5 linked regions of the Coturnix japonica genome follow. The protein of the gene in region 5 interacts with the protein of the main gene of each other region in a pairwise test. Links are inferred from orthologs where the notes say so. Each region holds a gene or a part of one and is shown on either strand. Other genes may lie near its edges. The genes, in order: PTPN4, PPFIBP2, ATXN1, USP53 and CRK.

The links.
Region 1: the proteins of CRK (region 5) and PTPN4 interact in binary tests that used the Homo sapiens proteins (3 or more experiments, as listed by UniProt). The link is inferred for Coturnix japonica from reciprocal best matches to the Homo sapiens genes CRK and PTPN4.
Region 2: the proteins of CRK (region 5) and PPFIBP2 interact in binary tests that used the Homo sapiens proteins (3 or more experiments, as listed by UniProt). The link is inferred for Coturnix japonica from reciprocal best matches to the Homo sapiens genes CRK and PPFIBP2.
Region 3: the proteins of CRK (region 5) and ATXN1 interact in binary tests that used the Homo sapiens proteins (3 or more experiments, as listed by UniProt). The link is inferred for Coturnix japonica from reciprocal best matches to the Homo sapiens genes CRK and ATXN1.
Region 4: the proteins of CRK (region 5) and USP53 interact in binary tests that used the Homo sapiens proteins (3 or more experiments, as listed by UniProt). The two-hybrid records come from large-scale screens. The link is inferred for Coturnix japonica from reciprocal best matches to the Homo sapiens genes CRK and USP53.

The regions. Positions count from the first base shown.
Region 1 is NC_029522.1:21,505,572-21,509,084, forward strand, and holds part of PTPN4 (tyrosine-protein phosphatase non-receptor type 4), read right to left. Parts: intron 426-3,513; coding exon 266-425; intron 1-265. UniProt on the Homo sapiens protein: Phosphatase that plays a role in immunity, learning, synaptic plasticity or cell homeostasis. Regulates neuronal cell homeostasis by protecting neurons against apoptosis.
Region 2 is NC_029520.1:11,725,887-11,729,399, reverse strand, and holds part of PPFIBP2 (liprin-beta-2), read right to left. Parts: exon of another isoform or gene 3,492-3,513; coding exon 3,459-3,491; exon of another isoform or gene 2,939-3,458; coding exon 2,800-2,938; intron 2,268-2,799; coding exon 2,139-2,267; intron 1,597-2,138; coding exon 1,446-1,596; intron 1,283-1,445; coding exon 1,171-1,282; intron 473-1,170; coding exon 384-472; intron 1-383. UniProt on the Homo sapiens protein: May regulate the disassembly of focal adhesions. Did not bind receptor-like tyrosine phosphatases type 2A.
Region 3 is NC_029517.1:67,238,893-67,242,949, forward strand, and holds the start of ATXN1 (ataxin-1), read left to right. Parts: upstream 1-1,248; 5' UTR 1,249-1,588; intron 1,589-2,118; exon of another isoform or gene 2,119-2,362; intron 2,363-2,393; exon of another isoform or gene 2,394-2,865; intron 2,866-4,057. UniProt on the Homo sapiens protein: Chromatin-binding factor that repress Notch signaling in the absence of Notch intracellular domain by acting as a CBF1 corepressor. Binds to the HEY promoter and might assist, along with NCOR2, RBPJ-mediated repression. Binds RNA in vitro.
Region 4 is NC_029519.1:49,032,563-49,036,507, forward strand, and holds the start of USP53 (inactive ubiquitin carboxyl-terminal hydrolase 53), read right to left. Parts: upstream 2,807-3,945; 5' UTR 2,674-2,806; intron 2,541-2,673; exon of another isoform or gene 2,157-2,540; intron 1-2,156. UniProt on the Homo sapiens protein: Deubiquitinase that mediates 'Lys-63'-linked deubiquitination of tight junction proteins, such as MARVELD2 and LSR, and which is involved in the survival of auditory hair cells and hearing.
Region 5 is NC_029534.1:3,973,284-3,977,386, reverse strand, and holds the start of CRK (adapter molecule crk), read right to left. Parts: upstream 2,813-4,103; 5' UTR 2,684-2,812; coding exon 2,440-2,683; intron 1-2,439. UniProt on the Homo sapiens protein: Involved in cell branching and adhesion mediated by BCAR1-CRK-RAPGEF1 signaling and activation of RAP1.

The sequences.
Region 1 (3,513 bases), on a different chromosome or scaffold from region 5:
GAGAACTAAAGCGAGTTCCAAAAAAACACTATTGAAAGTTATTTTTGTCCATTTGGTACAGATAACTGAATACCGGATGACCTGAGTAGTTGTTTTTCTAAACAGAACTTCACTGTGACTCAGGTAAGCATGAAAAGATGATCCTACGAAATGCTGCAATGTAATGCACAAACTTCGCACATCCCTGAAAACAAAATCAAGCTTACAAGGAGTAGAATCATTCAAATAAAAAGCAGGATAATTAAACCAGATCTAAAAAACTTACTGTGGACTTTTCAGGAGATACAGGGACATCAAATGTTTCATTGATGTGGTTATCCAGTTCTTGCTGTGAGTGTGAATGATGAATTTGGTTCCAACTGTTCTTTTTAAATTGTTTGGGTGGTAATGCAGGAGGCTGCCCATCTATAGGAGTTTCTTGAGATCTAAACACCAAAATACAAGAAGTACGAAGTATAAATTATTAGATACTGATGGCGCTTTAAGGATTCCAAGTAAACTAAACAAACTGCTTAGAGAGACTATGAGTTGGAGACCTGAAAATATGTATATGTTCTCATAATCTCAAAAATGTGCTGCTGCAGTTGAACAGACTGGAAGTGTGGGCTTGGCAACGTTAGTAATTTTTTTCTTGAAAAGCAACTGTAAGTAACTGAACCAGTAGGTTTCACTTTTACGTGGCTGGTTTTTGTTTGTTTTTAAAATAAAAACCCCAAGGTTCCAGCACATTTAATGTTTACAAACTATAACACTCACCATATTTATGCTGTATGCTCCAGCTAAAAAATACATATCTAAAATGCATAACAATTAAAGTGCTTTCCCCAATAAGACTTTCAGTGAGTTTTAACACCGTTACTGAAAATGAAATGGCAGAAACTTCTATTTCTGTTTAGCTCTGCAAGCACTGTACTGCAGATTAACAAAGAAGTCCTGTGTTTACATGCAATACGGATAATTTCCTTTATTAGTCCCTTTGAAATAAAAGCTTAACTGTATAATTCGTATTACATAAATATATGATTCATCTTTCATTACATGGCACTGTAGGTTTTTAGAGGCTCAAAAAGGCAGTTAGCACATAGCTCTCCCATTAACCTCGTCTGAATGCCAGTTTCTAACTACCAACACGGATACATGCCTTCCTCCCCATGAACCACATTAAAAGATATTAAGTAATTTCACTACTTGTGACAACAGCCCACTGAGACTAGTGGCAAATCCAAAAGCCACAAGGAATGAAGTTACCGGTTACAGCTAAACCTATGAGCATGCTACCACCAAAAGTGAGTGCTGCTCTTCTTCATCTGCTCCTCATGCCCCCTTCCCTGCATTGCTCCAGTGATCTCCCCTTGGCCAACCCAGCTCACCAAACAAGCCAAAGCTGTGACTTTTTGGACAAGCCTGGGTAGCTTGCTGCTGGATCAACTAAGTGAACTGACTAATCTCCAGGTGGAGGGAAGGAAATACACTCCCGCAGGCCATACATAGGACACTGTTCCTTATCAGCACTGTTGTGTGAGGAGTACTACTATAGTTACTATGGGGCTTGCTGCAATAAACTGGTAGCAGAGGGGGAGACTCATTAGAAGAGAGCACAGCATTTCAAGCTGCTGCAAGTAGTAAAAACTAAGGCAGTAATATAAATATATTTATATAAATATAAATCCTAATATTGTATTAGGTGTTTTTGCTTAACCTCAACTTTTGGAAAATAAATGTTTTTTGTGACACAACTATCTTGGGGAATTGACTAAGAAGTTGGTTTTTGGTTGGTTTTTTTTTTTTCAGAATAAGTAGTTTTTCCTCAAGATAGTTTATTGGAAAGAGAAAAAATATGATTGTCAACATCTGCAAAATGAATTTTTCAAGGCTGCTGTAAATTATGTAGACATTCACTTGTAAAGGTCACCCAGAGCTGTTCAGCTGCCCATGTATTTATACATTCAGGTCCGTGAGGCACAGGTTATTCATCCTTTTCAAGACAAGGGCAACACAGTTACATATCTGCCTGAAAACAATTACTCCTGAGAGTTCTAAACGGAATGAAAAAGGAATGGAAAACCTTTGTGAAGACACAAAAGCATCCAGATAAAAGTAAAAGATAGAACCCTATGTTTGACTGGACGCCTGTAAGTATGTCAGCAAACACAAATAAATTCCCAAAGAAAATACGAACTTATAGAAAAGAATTGAAAAGTTACTCAGATGAGCATTTTAGTAGAAGCAAGACAAGCGCTGTAATGTATTAGCATAATGAATTGTGAGAACTAACAATCAAGCCTTGGGCAAAAACTTCATTGCTTTGTATTTGCCCAGTCAGCTTTGAATCTCCTTATGAATGCTCAGACAATGGCCATGAAAGCAGCCTGCTTGGCAGGCAAAGGAGCTCTCTGTTACTGCATTCATCCATTTACATAATAATAGAATAACCCATAAAACCTCACACTGACAATCTCTGTGTATTTTTGTTACAGATATCCGGCCTGACCTTTTAATAAATTAAGCAAACACTTCGTACCTATAGCCATAAGGTTATTAAAATATACATCACGTGCCTTTCGAAGTTAAGTTTATCATTAACTCAGTATGCTATGAGCACAAAGAACTCAGTTCTGAATAACACATGTAGCTGAAGACAAAAAGACAGAATTAAAGACTGGATTATCTAAGCAAAAATCTCCTAATACGCACTGGATAACTGAGTTCTTTGGCTATATTGACTCCAAATCATGAGATCACTGTACTGACCATCAGGTTAGATCCTCTTACTTGCTTTTCTATATAAATTTGATCTACATATATGAATTCCCAGTAAATTAGCAGATGCACTGTTTGAACCTGCTAACTCAGAAGGGCCAAAATGTTTAAGTAGTCGATTTTTGGACAACAAAATCATTTTATTTACATGTTTAATATACATTTAATTACTCTACCACTTTTATTCATAAATGTAAAAGCTTTAACCAACACCATACTCTGAAAGTTTCAGAAGAATCTTTGAGGATTCATATTTTGACAGTCAATTTCCTTATTCTAAAAAATATCTCACGCTAAGTAATTACAGTGGGAGATTAAATTGCACTTTCAAACTTCTGAATAGGAAAAGCAATACTTCTTTTTTTTTTTTTTTCTTTTAGGGAATAAAAAACGTGCAAACCATGAAAAAGAACACTCATTGCTGCATAACTAATTTGCAAAAACACTTCCTCTCTTTTTAAGACTCATTTCTATGGTGACTCGCACAGGAAGTCAGGTATTAAATTAACAAATCCAAAGGACATTCAGGAACACATTCTACAACTTAATTTAGAATAAAGGCATACGAATAAAGGTACGTTTTGGAATTTCACTTATTTTGCTGTTTAAATCTACCACTCAAGATTTTCTCTTAACTGACTTGATTGTCTTAGAAGGGAATGCATGTGACAGCGCGGCTTCACTACAGCCAAATTCAAGCATGAAACAAGATTTACAAGTGTTCAAATTTTTGAGACTCCCTCGTCACACAAG
Region 2 (3,513 bases), on a different chromosome or scaffold from region 5:
ATTCTACTAAGTAAATATAATGGGTGTATGTATTGTTTGTATTGCTGCTAATTTGATGAGAGCTGTACAAGTTACTGGATTTGTTGCTTACCCTTATATTACATAATGTTGTTGATAACTTAGTGAGGAGAACAAAACATTCAAGAAGCTGTGTGTAAACTAGGTCATTTTACTGTCAGTGTGTTATGTGGGACTGAAAGAAAAACTTCATGTGGAAGTCAGTTATAACACTGTATTACTATTCTTGAGGTGTGTAAAACAAGTAATGTTGCACTAAACAATACATAGAAGTTCCTACCTGTACTGTTTCTGGCTTGCAAAAAAAACTGCAATTCTTTGCTCATTATGAAGTTCAGAGTTTGGCAAAAAAGATTTGAGCTTACCACAGTTAAGTACTGCAGCATTCTCCCATCAACTCTGGACTCGTGAAACTGGTCTTTGTACTGAGGTAAACCAATATCATCAAGCCAGCCTGCAGGTAGAAAAACAATGGTGTATCCAAATCTCTGTCAGTGAGAATGAAGCCGGCTTCTTCTGAGGCACTCCAGTAGCTGTTCTACCTATTCACTTTCCAAAGGACATCCTCTTAACGGAACCTTAAAGCAATTTCCAGCAGCCAGCTTTGTCAACAATACCTCTGCTGTATTTTAAGTATGTACTTTGTGCAGTGTAATTTAGCTCTTGCTAGACTGAGACCTCCCACCCCTATTTATATTCATTCTCCCTCAAGAAGGATGGGCTGCCTGAGACACGTGCATGTTTGAGCAGTCACCAGGCATCTTTTTAAGAGCGCTAAGTTTCAACAGGACAAGTTATTTCATAGAACGATGATTTTTGTGCCATTCTGAACGTTCAAATAAAGATGCTGTTTTATAGAATGAACTTTGCATGGGAACTCTACCATTCAGATTGCAGCAAAGTTGTGGAGCAATTTGTGAAACACGGATGCCATCATCAGGTTATTACACGATATGTGCTTTATGAAGTATTCAACCCAGTGCTCTTTTACACTTGAGACTGTGCCGAATGTGCAGATAGACCCATACAGTCATCTGCTCGGAGAAAAATTCATCTGATGATTGATCTGAAAATACTTGAGTTTTCTGTTAATTCCTACTTCACTATACAAGAGAAACACAAACTTTTCTGTGTAATTCTTCAAGCACTTACGTGTCACCCAGATATGATCAAGTTGTGCAGACTTCTCATCTTGTTTTGTGTTTATTGATTTAATGGCCAAAACTAATTTCTTCCTGTGCAGTGGGTGCTTTATTCCCATTTCCTGTAATAATAATCATTAACAAATAGTTTAATGAGATGAGGAGAGCCAGAGGTAAAACAAACATGAAAACATTTCAAAGATGTAGAATTGCCCATTGTTGGAAGGGGCCTGGTTATACAGAAGCAACTGGAGTTTACTTAAGAGAAACAGGTACATGCATTACCTTTTCCATGTCCTGAGGTGTTGCAGTTAACAGTGTATGGCCTGAAGTCACCCACTGCCGGGCAAAAATGACGTACTGCCCAAGACCAAAGTCCTCAAGCCAGTTACAAACTCTTTCAGTACTCCACTGAGCGAATGGAGCATTGTAGTCACTGAAAAATAATAGAACTCATTAAAAGCCATAAAGGAAAGACGATGGAAATTATAAGGAAGACCATCACAGACTAGAGGAGATGCTACAGGCCAGGTCCCAGTGTGATCTGTATTGTGCAGTAATCAGCTCTAGCAGCCATTCTTGCAGTACATGCTGTGGTACAAGCATTTTCTAAATTTGACTGCCCAGCTTCCTCTACTGGTCATTTGAGGCAGGGCAGGAAGATAAAAGTTTCAAATAGAAATGGGAAAGGACAGAAAAAGGTAACTGCGGAATCTTGATGGCTGCAGATATTCCCCACAGGAGATGATGAGAAATTTTCTGGTGACATTTTGCTGCTGCTCCCTGCAGTTGAAGGAGTGCAGATGGGAAACTGCTTTGGCTACACTTTCTACCAGAGAAATTATTTCCAGTTGTGGAATTGAATTCCACGTGTAATTAAGTATGTTAATGCATATTTCAAATGAGGAACATTTTGCTGTTCAGTGTATTTAACAATACTATATTATACCTTGTGCAAAAGAAAAGAAAAACTGTTACCTTTTCTGGCCTTTGGTTTCCTTTGATCTGGATAACCGAGGTCCAGCTGTTGCACGGAGACCACCCCTTCGAAACTCTGCCAAACCCAGATCGTCTGCAGGGAAGTTACCAGACTGAGTTCTTCTTATCCTTTCAAAACAAGAGTGCCAAGACAGTGCTGTTAGCATCCGGCAGCAAACTGTTTCATATGGAAACTATAATGACAGCTAGAAGTTGTATTAATCTTCCTGTAAAGCACAAACATCTGATTCAAGCAGCAGCTGATGAAGTAGCAGGCAAACTGTCTAGACCTATCTCAGAAAAGAAAGAAAAGCTTTGCAAAGCAGCCATGACCCTTCAACTCAAATAATAATTCACATCAGAAGCCAGGCTTGTAAACGGCTGCAGTCCAAATAGAAGGAACACAGTAAAACTTGGTATTCTCAATTGTCAGCACAATAACACAGTAGAATATATAATTTCTTCAACTAGTGTGGCACTCTGAACCTTACCATCCGCTTTCCTCCACCCGTGTGTACAGACAGACACACCTATGCAATCAGAAAGCTGCTTTCCCTCCTTCTCCTGAGTTTCATTTTACACTTGCTGTATCTTTTCATGAGAACTGATTGAATTCTCAGTTTGAAATTCTGTGACAAGGAACTAAAAAACATGATCTTACTTTCCCCAGATTTTCTTGATCCCTTTTGGACTCTTTCTGTTTTCTAGAGACAGTGGAGACTGTGGACCCGAATCCGTTCCCGAAGAAAGAGGTGAAAGATCATCTGAGACTACTGTACCATCCATGTTCTCTGTTTCTCCTGGGTTAACAACAATAATTGTCAATAATTAGTACCAAATGTGACAAGGTTGTTCTATGGCAGACTAATTCTTAAAAAACATAAAGTACAGATAGCTGTAAAAATGTTATTGCATAAAAATAATATAAAAAAAAAGTAGTTGTGCTTTTGATACAAGAAAAAGTTACTATAATATTGTTTTTTCAGTTTATTTTAAAACCTTAATTCCAGATCTTGATCTGCTCTTGTGTTTCCTATTTTTAATAACAAAATTCATCTGTCACAATCAGCGGGAATTTTATTGTTGACTTCAGTGAAAGCAAAATAAGACCAAGAATAAATATCTTAAAAAACAACACCAAAATCCCGTCTGAATGCTATGCAGCTAAAGGTTTCATTTCAGTGCTAAACTTAAGGAGCTCAGTCTGGACTGTGCACTCAGTGTTAGTATTTTACAGAGAAGAGGAAGGGAGGGAAAAAGGAAAGGAAAAAATAAGCAGCAAAATTCACGTTCAAGTTGCATCTTGTTTGGATACGATACCTAGCACGGGTGCACTGACACTCCTGATGCGATCTTCAGTCATCCCAAGAAGCAG
Region 3 (4,057 bases), on a different chromosome or scaffold from region 5:
TGTTAAAATATGCTTGTGCTCATAAAGCCGGTCTATAAGACAGTACCAACTCTCAGTCATGAGCTGTGCAGATTACCATGTTGTTAGCACATTCTCTAGGAAATATAGAGGACGAGTACAGTCATTCATAGAAGGGACTGCTTTGCTGATCTGCATACTGACAGAGCCCTAGGGTCTTTTGCATCCAGACTAACGCTAGATCCAATGCTGAAACACAGCGGTACTACCTGTGGACACACACGTGACACATCGGCACTACAGACATCTGCTCGGAGCTCACAGCTGTGCTGGGGGGGGGGGATTGGAAGAGGCTCAAACAACAGCCCGCTCTGGGCAGCCACGGCACAGGGAGCGCACGTGCTGCTCTCGGAGCCCTTCTGGAGCTGAGACCCAGCCTTGGGGGTTTATGCAGCATTTCGTGTGGTGACTTTGGGATGGGGAGAGGCTTTCCCGGCGCCGTGCGTGCCTTCCTGATGCCAAAGCAGAGCGAGCGGTTCCCTGCGCGGCAGTCGGGTTGCCAGCAAGCAGAGCAGACGCCGTCCCGTGCCTGTGTTCCTCCCATTCATTTATTCGGGGAGAGGCGGGCAGTGGTCTGCGCGCAGCCGGGAGAGACGAGCGAGGATTGTGCCGGAGCGCGTACGAGGAGCGCAGCGGGAGCGAGTACCCAAACATGCGTGGTGCAGCCCTGCCCGCCTCGTAGTGCGGCGACGGAATGAGTCAGAGCCTCTTTGGTCTGAATGAAGTGGAAGGTACTCTCTACAAAGCAACTCGAGCATACGCCAAGGATCCGGAAAAATAAAACTAATTCAGAAAACGGGAGTGGGATGCGGGCTCCTGCGCTACGACGCTTTGAACGGCAAAACGCAATATGGCATCTTAAATAAAATCACCCTCCCCTGACTCTCACGGCGCTGCCTCCGAGCCGTCCCTGGCTCGGGTTTATTTCCTCCCTTAGCGACAGCCCGGCCGAGGCCGCCGCTCCCGCATCCTGGCCCCGCTCTGCTCCCCCCGCTGGGCAGCGCGTCCCTCCCGGTGCCCGCCGGTGCGTCCCTCAGCACAGCGGGCGTCGGGGCGAGGAACGGCCGGGCTGGGGGGGTAAAAAGGGGGGAGGAGGAGGAGGGCGGCTCGGCCCCGGGCGGCCTCCAAAGGGTTAAGGCCGGCGGCCCCGGCGGTGCTGAGCGTATGCAATAATCTGTGTGGCTCTCTTGGCCGCCCGCCAGAGTGCTGCCTTGCCTCCTCCTCCTCCTCCTCCTCCCCCCCGCCCCCCCCTTTCGCGTGAAGTAGGATCCTTGAGCTGTTGCAGAGGCAGCCAACTGCTCCATATTTGGCTTCTATTACACATTTACATACTGGAGAGCGGAGCGGCAGCGAGCGCTGTACTGCAGACATCATTTCTACTACAGCGCCGGAGCAGCCCGGAGCGTGTCCCCGCGGGGGAAGGAGCCCTCACTTACACACACATACACACGCACACATATACACACACACACACACATACACACCCGCAGACCCCCACCCCGGGAGGACGGCGGTGCTCGAGTCTCAGTCCGACCCCCCCCGCCAGCCCCACCTCCACTGACACTTTACAGTAAGTGCCTTTTTCTTCCTCCTCTGCTTTCTGCCCCTCCACCCCCCCCGCTCCTCCTCCTCCTCCCCCGGCTTCTCCCCTTGTTTGGGCTGCGGAGCCGCCCGCGGTTCCCGGCTGGAAAAACACGGGGCTGGGGGCGGCTCTGTGCGTGTATATGTGTGTATGTGTGTGTGTGTATATGTGTGTGTGTGTGTGTATATGTGTGTGCGGGGGGGCAGCGCTGCGGCCCGGCCTCAGGGCCCGGCCCGGGCGGGGGCCGCGACATGGCCGAGGGCAGCGGCCTGGGCCCGGGGCCGGGGCTCGCACGGCCCTCCCGCTCCTCCTCCTCCTCCTTCCTTCTCCCTCACCCCGCCGGCAGGGTGGACATTTTGCGAGCGGCGGCCTCGGGGTGTGTGTTTGTAGCCGGGTGTGTATGTGTAGATGTGTGTGTGTGTGTGTGTGTGTGTGTGGCGGTGCGGTGCGTGACGGGGTGGTGACACGGCCCCTCCGTGTGTGTGTGTGTGTGTGTGTGTGTGTGGGAGAGAGGAGGGGGGGGGCCGCGGCCGGGCCGCACGGCGCATGTAGTAGGGGCTGGGCGGCCGCTGAGGGTGAATGAAGCGAGCGGGCGGCGGAGGAGGCGGCGCTGGGACGGGGATGTGGCCGGCGGCCGCCCCGCGCCGCTGCTGTCGGGGCCCAGGCCGCCTGCGGACAACGCCCGGTACCGCCGCCGGGGGAGCGCGGGCGGGAGGGCCGCGGGGCAGCGCCACTTTAACCCCGGCCGGAGCTCGGGGTCGGGTCGGTGTCGTTCGCTATTACCCCACCCCCACCCCGGTAGGGACGCGGACGCCGCGATCCGCGAGCGCGATTCCTGGGGGTATCGAAGTCTCAATTAAACGCGCTGCGAAACGTCAGCGCCCGCTGTAATAGCGATAAGAACGCGACGGAGCGGGGAGCGCAGAGGAGGAATTACCGAGCGGCACTGACGGAGGAGCAAACAAGTCGGAAGCCGTTATATAATGCGGGGAGCGGCGGCTGGTTGGGCGCCGCTGACCGCACGGAGCGCAGCGCCGGGCCGAGCCGTGTGGGGGGACATCCCGCTCGGTGCCGGGCGCCGCGGGCTGTTTGTCCGTCCGTCCGTGCGTGCGGCGGCGCAATGAGGGCTTTTAATTTCGGTTTCGAGCCCTTCCGCGGCGGTGCGGGCCCGGGCCCTTCACGCAGCCCTTCGGAGACCGCCCGGCCCCGCTCCGCCGAACGATGAGAGAGCGCTGCTATGGCAACAGACAGCCCCGGCCGCTCAGGTGTGCGCGCCGTGAGCCCCGCCGCCTCCGTGCGGGGTGCGGGGACAGGGACGGGGGGAGGCACCGCACAGCGGCTCCGTCAGGGCGCTGCGGGAGCACGGAAACTTTGCCGCTGCTCCTCGCACCCAGCCCGGCTCCGTAGGGCCGGGAATTGTTGGTACCGCTGGGAACGTGAGCAAGGAGCTGTGCGCTGAGGGGCAGCCGGCTTCCTTTGCCCTCGGTGAACAAACCCGAGGGGGCATATCGTATAAACATCGCCACGCGGCTCGTTGCTGATATTCCGATTGATACCACTTTGCGTTTGTGCTCGTTAACATACAGCAGAGAGCGAAACTTTCCGCCCCGTACGGCGTGTTGCCGTGTTGGAGCGGGCAGTGCGGCTCCTGCCCTCCCGGAGCAGCTCATGCCGGCCCTTCCCCTCGTTGCCCGCACACGGGCGCAGGCGTCGCTTCGTGCAGGCACCGAATGTGGCGCTGAGTCGTAATGCCGCGGGCCTGGAGCGGCTCCAGGGGCTGCTTGAGAGCCGCGCACACCGTGTGTATATCTGGGGTAGCTCCGCTCGTTGGACTCCGGCCAGGCGCAGAGCAGAGTAGCAGAGCTCAGGCGCTGATCCGCTGCCTGCAGCCATCGTTTTCCCAATATCTTACCACGGCAAAAAGCAACGTGGGATTTTTTTTGCCCCCTGGAGGTGCCGCGTTAGCCACGTGCGTCCACGCTGCTACGGAGCGCAGCCCGGAGCACTTCGCATCTCGGCGGTGAGAAGCTGCCGGCACCGTGAAGCACACACACAATCACAGCATCACAGAATGACCCGGGTTGGAAGGGACCTCAAGGATCATGTAGTTCCAACCCCCTGCCTGGCAGGGCCACCAAACATACACATTTACTAGATCAGGAGCACCGGAGCTCCCCGGCAGCCCCTGGGCAGTGCACGGTGCCGGCAACTTCTCACCGCATCTCTTCTCCCTGCCCTGCTGTGATTTACTCGGAGAGGCTGAAGGAACCGGTCTTTTATTGTAAGAGACATTTACAAGAGGCCTGGAATTGCACTTAACGAACATTTTTATGTAATAGATCCAGTGGCCTAGTTTCATCTTAATTAAGAAAATAGACGTTAGATGCGCTCACCTGAAAAGCAACTGATTGAAACATTAGGATGCGAAAGTATTGGTCTCAGAGCAAAATGAAGGGC
Region 4 (3,945 bases), on a different chromosome or scaffold from region 5:
CCATCCCTGGTTGTGTTTAAGAGCTGTTTGGACGTGGTGCTCAGGGATATGATTTAGTGGAGGGTTTTTAGAGTTAGGGTACTGGTTAGGCTTGGTTGGACTTGATGATCTCTCCAAGGTCTTTTCCAACCTGGGTAATTCTATGATTCAGTATTTGAAACATCAGATAGAGCAAAAAACCTTTCATTACTAAGAGCACATACTCGCAAGACATGATTTGCAACAAGAACATTTCTAAAACCAATTAAATCGCATCTCCGGCTGTGCCAATTAGCCCTGATTTCATGGGGTAACGGCAGGCACAGCAGCAGTACTATTGGGCTGGCACATTCCTTCTACCTCTCAACACTGGCTCAGAAAGTCCCCAGGAGACAGAAGCGTTATTTCACAGCCTTCTCTCTTGAAATACTTCCACCCAAAGTCTGAAGACTTTAGAACCAAACTTCTATTTTAAATATCTCCATTGTCTCTCCTCTTGCCCACATCCATTTAGCGGTCCCTCAAAAGCTACATCACTGCTCTGTGATGTCAGACTTATTCATATCCTTTCAGGATGGGAGAATCAGAAGCGTAGATGCTATCACAGATGGCTCCTGTTAAAAGCATACAATTTTTTCTTTAAACTGTTCCAATGAAAACTTTCCTGTTTGCATCTAAAAGAAAACAACAGGTTCACAGCAGCATCTCCCAACTGTCGCAACTAGGAACTGACTTTAGAAACAGCCACAATGGCAACACTGAGGAAAGATCTTAAAGACAAATTCCCAAGACATGACACGAGCCAGCATTTACAGTGAATCATCAAGCATAGAAACTCACACTAATGAATGCAGATGGAGAAGTAGGACAGAAGCAGCAGAGAAGGCAGCAGAGTGTCTCGCCTGTAAAAAATGTAGAGCCCAAATGCCCTAAAGCAGCAAGTTATCTTTGAGTTTTCTCATACGAGCATTCCTCCCTGCTGAATTCAAGTATCAGCATATGTTAAATACAAGACCCACCAAGGTACCGAACCAACCTGAAGGTGTTGAAACCCCCAGAGTGCTATTCCTGACTATCCTTCCTCACTGACAGCTCACGAACACACGGAGACACATTCTTAAACACAACAACAAACTACAGAGATTTTTGTTTGACGGCTTCTCAGTCATTTCTGAAGTGTTTTGTTCTCTGGAATGTTTGATAATTACCAGATGTGAAAAACATCAAGTTTCTATTTCTTGCCCCAAAGCTCGCTTTCTACAACCCTTCTTCCTCAGCCCACGCAGCTTAAACACCAACAAGTCCATAACCTTGGTACAGCTTCAGCACATCAATGTTTCACCGTGCCCTGCCAAAATCCAAAGTGCTTCCACTGCAGCCAAAAAAGCATTTCTGAAGAAGCTTTTGAACAGGCTTCACTCCTGTTGCTGTGCCCCTCAACTGACACAGATTTTTACTGCATCCAGCACCAATAACTGAGGAAAAACCATACAAGTGTTGCAATCGAGACCTTGGAAAACAATGTAACTGAAACGTGACAGCACTAACATTGACCCTGAAGCCTCGTGGATCCCACAAACAGACGATTCTTCCTGCTGTACACCATGTATCCTTTATATCTAAAGATTCTGCACTATCAAGTTTGGATAGTAAAATCAAGTACAGTTTTGGTGTTTTTCCTATCAGCATCTCACCGGTCCAGGGTAAAAACTTTTTACAGAAGTGAGTTGATATTAAAAATCCTGACAAACAGTAACTACATCCTACATTGCAGCACTGTTAAGGTAGAAGATCACTTGTTCTTTCTTTAGAGCAACGTGCATTCAGATCATAACAAACTCTCGCTGTTTCCATAGCCAAAGTCATCACTTCACGAGAGGACAACACGGGGACAACAGGAGAAGGGGCTGCACATCAGCAGTCCGGCACAATCCATTCACACGATCCAATATTTGCTCTTATAAAACCCCAAAACTTCAAAGCAAAACACGTGCAAAACAAGGGGTTAAAAGCAGACACATAAAACCCACACTTACTTCGGGAAGAGAAAAATACGCGCTGAGAAAACAAGGTATCACCTCTGGAAAGTATCTTTTAACGTATTTGCATTGAAAATCAAAGCAAGAGACAGTCGGAGCGACGGATGCCGAGCAGTTTGCATGCAGCCAGACACCCACCTGCACCCGGAGCGCTGCTCGTGCGGCTGCAAACGCTGGGAACTGATTAAATTTCACCGAGTTCCACGCTACCTGCACCGGCATTTCCTGTTCCAAACACTCCGAAAACACTCCGGCGGAGCTCGCTGACGGGCATGTGACTACGGCGTTAAACATTAACTTCTGGCCCTCAGCGAGACAACCCCCGAACTCAGCCCGTCCCGCGCGCGGTCCGCGTACTGCTCGGAGCCGAATCGAGCCGTGCCGGCCTAACGCCGCTTACACAACCCGCCCAGCGGGGACAACGCGGTGCGGAGCGGAGCGGCCGCCGTTGGCCCCGGGCTGCGTCCAGCCGCTCCGCACCGCTGAGCACACGGCGGTTCTACCCCTCACAACGGCCCCGCGCGGGACGGGACCCGCGGCCGCCCGCCGCCCTCGGGCGAAGCAGCCCCCGCACAGCCCGCCCCATCCCGGCCGGTGCGGGCGAGTCCTCCCACCCCTCCCCAGCTCGGCTCCTCCGGGGCACCCCCCGCCTCACCTCCCGTGTCCGGCGGCACCCTCCGTAGGCTCCTCTCTCGCCCCCTCCCGGCGGAGACTCCAGCCGCCGCCCCGCCCTCACGGCAACTTTTGCTCCCCCTCCCGCCGCCGTCCCCTCCTCCGTCTCCCCGCGTCTCGCCCTGCGGGGCGGCGCGTGCGCGTGCGCCCACCCCGCCTCGGGAGCCGCCTCCGCCCAGCTGGGCGATGCGCACGCGCAGTGGAGCGGCGCCGTGGCCGGGACGGACGGGATCCCGGCGCCAGGAAGCGGGAGGAGGGAGCGGGAGCGGGGCGCATGCGCAGTAGGCTGGGCGCTGCCCGAGCCCTTCGTGACTTCGGGGTTTGGTGGGCATGGGGTGCGCGCCGTACAGCCCGCTGTGCTGAATGAACGTGGGGAGGAGGCTGCAGGGCGGCCTGTCGTGCTGCACTGTGAAGCCTTGGGGCTGCAGCAGCCCTTCCTTCCCCGTTCCCTTAGTGCCGTTCTCAGCACATCGCCTGCGTGCGAAGGGCGTGCTTACCCCGTGTGTAGAAGCAGCGCAAGCCGTGCCCCAGGTAACTGTGAGGGAGCGGCTCTGAGAGCTGCGGGTTGCAGGGCAGGAAGCCTGTGTTGGGGCTGTTCCAAACCACCGGTTTTTCGTGTTAATAACCTGCTCAAAAGAACGGGGCAGCCGTTGCTTTTCCAGCAATTGTTCCCCGGTGCTCCTTGCAGGATATCTGTCCGCACGTGGGCCCGGCTGAAGGTGCCTATGAGGGAACGCAGGCACAGGGCTGCTGCTGGGCTGAGGGCGGCTGTGCGGGCCGACCCCGAGCACACACACATCCCGAGCACACACATACACCCCGAGCACACACATCTAGAGCACATACACATCCCGAGTACACACATCCCCAGCACACACACATCCAGAGCACACACACATCCCAAGCACACACACACCCCGAGCACACACATACACCCCGAGCACACACATCTAGAGCACACACACATCCCGAGTACACACATCCCCAGCACACACACATCCAGAGCACACACACACCCCGAGCACATACATCCCGAGCACACACACCCCGAGCACACACATCCCGAAGCTGCGTTGCATCTCAGTGCACGTTGCACTCGCAGACCCTGCACTGTATCACCTAAAGAGCTGCCCTTGGGTCATTACCCCAGTCGCGTTCCTATTATTTTATCTGCTGTATTATTTTGGGGAGGGAGGGGTGCTTCCTTTTGTTATTTGCGAAAGGAATGGTTTGTTCATGAGTACTTGTATTTCTA
Region 5 (4,103 bases):
TCTTCACTCCCATCCCGTCCGTGCCACTAGGCAGTTTTCTCTTTATCCCTAAGCTTTGGTAAGCTTTCCTTTTTAGGGCATGGGAGACTTAACAGGAATATAGGTTTTCAATTTCATCTCTAGACACACCCCACAAACCCCTACCCCCATCTTCAAAAGCACATTTGGGGAAAGAAAGGCTGTTCTTGGTGTTCAGGGTGCTGAGACACGAGGCTCTCACTCTGAACACATCACAGCAACATATCACAGCCTTCCTCCTAGAGCAACTCTGCAACAGAGGCAAAACCTTCTGCCTGTTTCCCCCACCTTCATTCCGACACCTTCTTCTCCTTGTTCTTCAGTGCCTGTCTGCTCACTACTGAGACAAGCACTCAGGAATGCTCTATAAAAACATGAGTCCAGGAAGTGCAGCCTGAATCCTTCAGAAAATCACAATGGAGCGCAATAAGCACGTTCTTAAGACGCATAATACTTACTGAAAACATCACCTTCCACTCTGTCACACTTCTCTATGTCATAAAGAAAAACGTTAAGGCTTTCAGGCTTCTGGCCTGATGTCTTTAGATGTTTGAGTGTACACCAGACATCACGGCCCTATCCTTGTATGTCAAACTGCAAAGACGTGATGGGTTTAAAGTCAGGTTCCTACTGTCACCTGCACACAGCAGGGTACAAGCAGTCACAAATCACACATGCATTTCAATCACCTGAAGCCAATAAATCAACACAGGAACCTGACCGGGCATATTTAGGCTTTCCAGTGAGTTGTGTGCATCTGTCAAACAATCAATTGCAATAAAAATAAGTAGACCATATAGAAAACTGACATGGTAAAGTTGGTTTTTCCAAAATAGCTACTTGTGAACATTTACCTCATTTCACTGCACTACCTTCCCCATCCAAACCTGAAATCATCTTCAACCTTATAGCAATAATAGCACGTCCCTTCCTTTAAAGAACATTTCTCCCTGGAGGAAATTCTTAATTACAGGTTAAACGTAACTTACTACACACACACTTTCTTCCTTTGAGCGTGAAAAGCGCACAGCATCAGCATGACATTCATTTAAACCCACTTGAATTTCAGCACAAAAATACCTTTGGTGTGAAAGCAAAGCAGCACCTATTCCAATAACATCAAGGTGGGGAAAAAGTGGACTTCCAAAAAGTAATAAAGCTCAGGATGGACTCCACTACAAATCACCATAGAAGCTTATTCTGCTCTGTGTAACAACCACACGTTTCACACATCAACCTATGAAAATAAACCTTTGCCTTGATAAGACATGAAACGCTGAGGAACCGAATGTATCTTGTGGTAAACCACTTCACTACCCGCTTCGCTTCCAGTTCAATGCAGCCACCTTTATCTCCTGCATTGCAGAGCTTTGTGTGACTGAAGCACACCTTACAGCAGCGGCAGATTCCTGTGATGAACCCAATGACTTCAGGCTTTCCCCAGTTTGTCAATTCTAAACGTTACCCCAATCAGGAGAGATCACTGTAGAATGGTGCAAACCCACCCACCACCAACAGATTCCTTCTTTATCAACTACAGTCTGCACAGCCTTTCTGTCTCTGTAGCAACCTATGTCCTAACTTCACTCCTCGTCAGGTTCATTAGCTCTCCTATTACACAGCCTTATTATACAGCCTTCCAGACTTTGTAGTGGTTTCTCAGAGATGCCAGCAATTCGCCCACATCATTCTGTGAGCATTAACATCCAGACAGGAGCGGCTCCACCGCCAACATCAGCAATGCCCCCATCAGGGCTGCTGCTTAATTCAACCTTCTCATCACACATCGATAGATTATACATTGCTGAAGGCTCCAGGTCACTTGTGCGTTCAGAATCATTGCTTTCTGCAATGCAAAAGCAACACTTCAAGGGTTAACTTAAGTACATTATGTTTGTATTAGAGGTTGATGAGGAATAACATCAAATCTCCCTTTACAACACAAGGTGTGTGTAGGAGGGGGAACCCTGAATTCCGTATCTGATCTAAAGGAACAAACGCCTTTACACTGCTCCCACCCAGCTTTGATTCACGACTAAGTTTAGCCTCACAATCTGTCCTCTTAACTCTCAACTATTCCAACCCAATTCAACCTTTGAATTGACACTTCCAGGGATCCATCTCCACGCTGACACACCTCACCCACAAATTAAAACAAAACGAAAGAAGGCATAAAGCTGTAAAAGTGTGACGGCTCCGGGCTGCGCTCTGTCCCATCGTTTAGATGCGAGGCAGGTGCAGGGAAACGGCTGCAAGGCGAGATTGAATTAAGTCCTCTACAAAGAGCAACACGACTCCAACACAACACGACTCCACCACGACTCTCAGACCCGGCCGTGAGCAGAGCGGAGCTGCAGGGACCAGGCGCAGAGCGGGGCCCGCAGCGGCTGATGGGCACGGCCAGCCCTGGGGGTCACTCACCCGGGGTCCCGGGGCCCTCTCCGCCGGCCCTTCGTCCTCCCGCCGGCCCCAGGCTGTTGACGATGTAGTGCGACACGCGGGAGCTCTCAGACACCGACAGGACGAAGTCTCCGGGGATGGTGCCCGAGTCTCGCACCAGGAAGGTCCCGTGGCGCTGCCCCTGAAGCAACGACACCGCCTCGGCCCGGCTCAGCCGCCCCCAGTACCAGCTCCCCCGGTCCTCGGAGTCGAACTGCCCGGCCATGGGGGCCGTCCCGCCCGCAGGCCGCACTCGCTGCCCCCGCCCCGCGGGCCGCCGCCGCCCGCGGTGCCCAGCTCCGCGCCCAGCCCTACCGCACCAAAATGGCGGCCCCTACCCTGACCTCACCTACCGGAAGTGACCGCACGCGGGAGACGCGGGGGGATACGTGACGTCATCACAACGCGCGGCCTTGGGGACGGTTGGCGGCCTGTGGGGGCTGCGCATGCGCGTTGGGTGGAGCGCAGGGTCTGAGGGGAGCTGTGTGTGTGCTGCCTTGTAGGTGAGACCTGATTGTGAGTGCGGAGGGTCCGTCTGGGCACCCACAGGATCACAGAATGACCCGGGTTGGAAGGGACCTCAAGGATCATGTAGTTCCAACCCCCTGCCTGGCAGGGCCACCAAACATACACCTTTACTAGATCAGGTTGCCCATGGCCCCGTCCAACCTGGCCTTGAACACCTCCAAGGACGGGGCATCCACAACCTCCCTGGGCAGCCTGTTCCAGGGCCTCACCACTCTCCTAGTGAAGAACTTCCCCCTGACATCCAACCTAAATCTTCCCTCTTTTAACTTCAAACCATTTCCCCGTGTCCTGCTATTGTCAGCCCTTTCCAAGAGTTTACTCCCCTCCTGGTTATAGGTTCCCTTCAGGTATTGAAAGGCTGCAATGAGGTCACCCCGCAACCTTCTCTTCTCCAGGCTGAACAAACCCAACTCCCTCAGCCTGTCCTCAGAGGGGAGGTGCTCCAGCCCCTGATCATCTTCCTGTCCCTCCATTGAGGATTCAATTCATTGTCTTTTTTCCTTCAGAGAGAAGCTGCCACCTGCAGTTGGTGCTTTCACCTTCCCAGCCAGCTGCATTTTCCTGCCTCACAGCTGTTTGCATGGAAAACCACTGGAAAACCCTTCCCAGGGAGATGTTCTGTGTTAAGTAGAGCCCTGTGGAAAAACAAGCTGTTTCTGACCCTGAGAAGATCACTGACCGCAGGAGCCTGCAGATAAAGTTGCTTCACTTCCATTTCTGCTGCAGGGGAATGTGCATGTGGGTGTATGCACCATTAAGAATTATAAGGATGGAGAAATAGGTACCAAGTTTAGATTAGCTTCAAGTTCCAGAGTAACATCTTCAGAGTCTGGATAACTGCATAGACAATTCCATTCCAGCTCTGCTCAATTCTATAAGCTTTTTTTTTTCCCCCAAAGGAATGTGTATTTTCAACTGTGTGGCCTCCATGTGGCAGCACTTGCATAAACATGGAGCACAGCTGCCCTTAACTGTGCAAGTGCATGTGCTGGCTCACAGCACCTTTGCTTTCTTGTGAGGCATTGGGAAGCCCTGTGACTGTCTCATGGAGTGGCTTTGGTATTGTGTTTTGTATGAACCTTCACAGTATCCCAATGGAAAAATATTCTATCTTACAG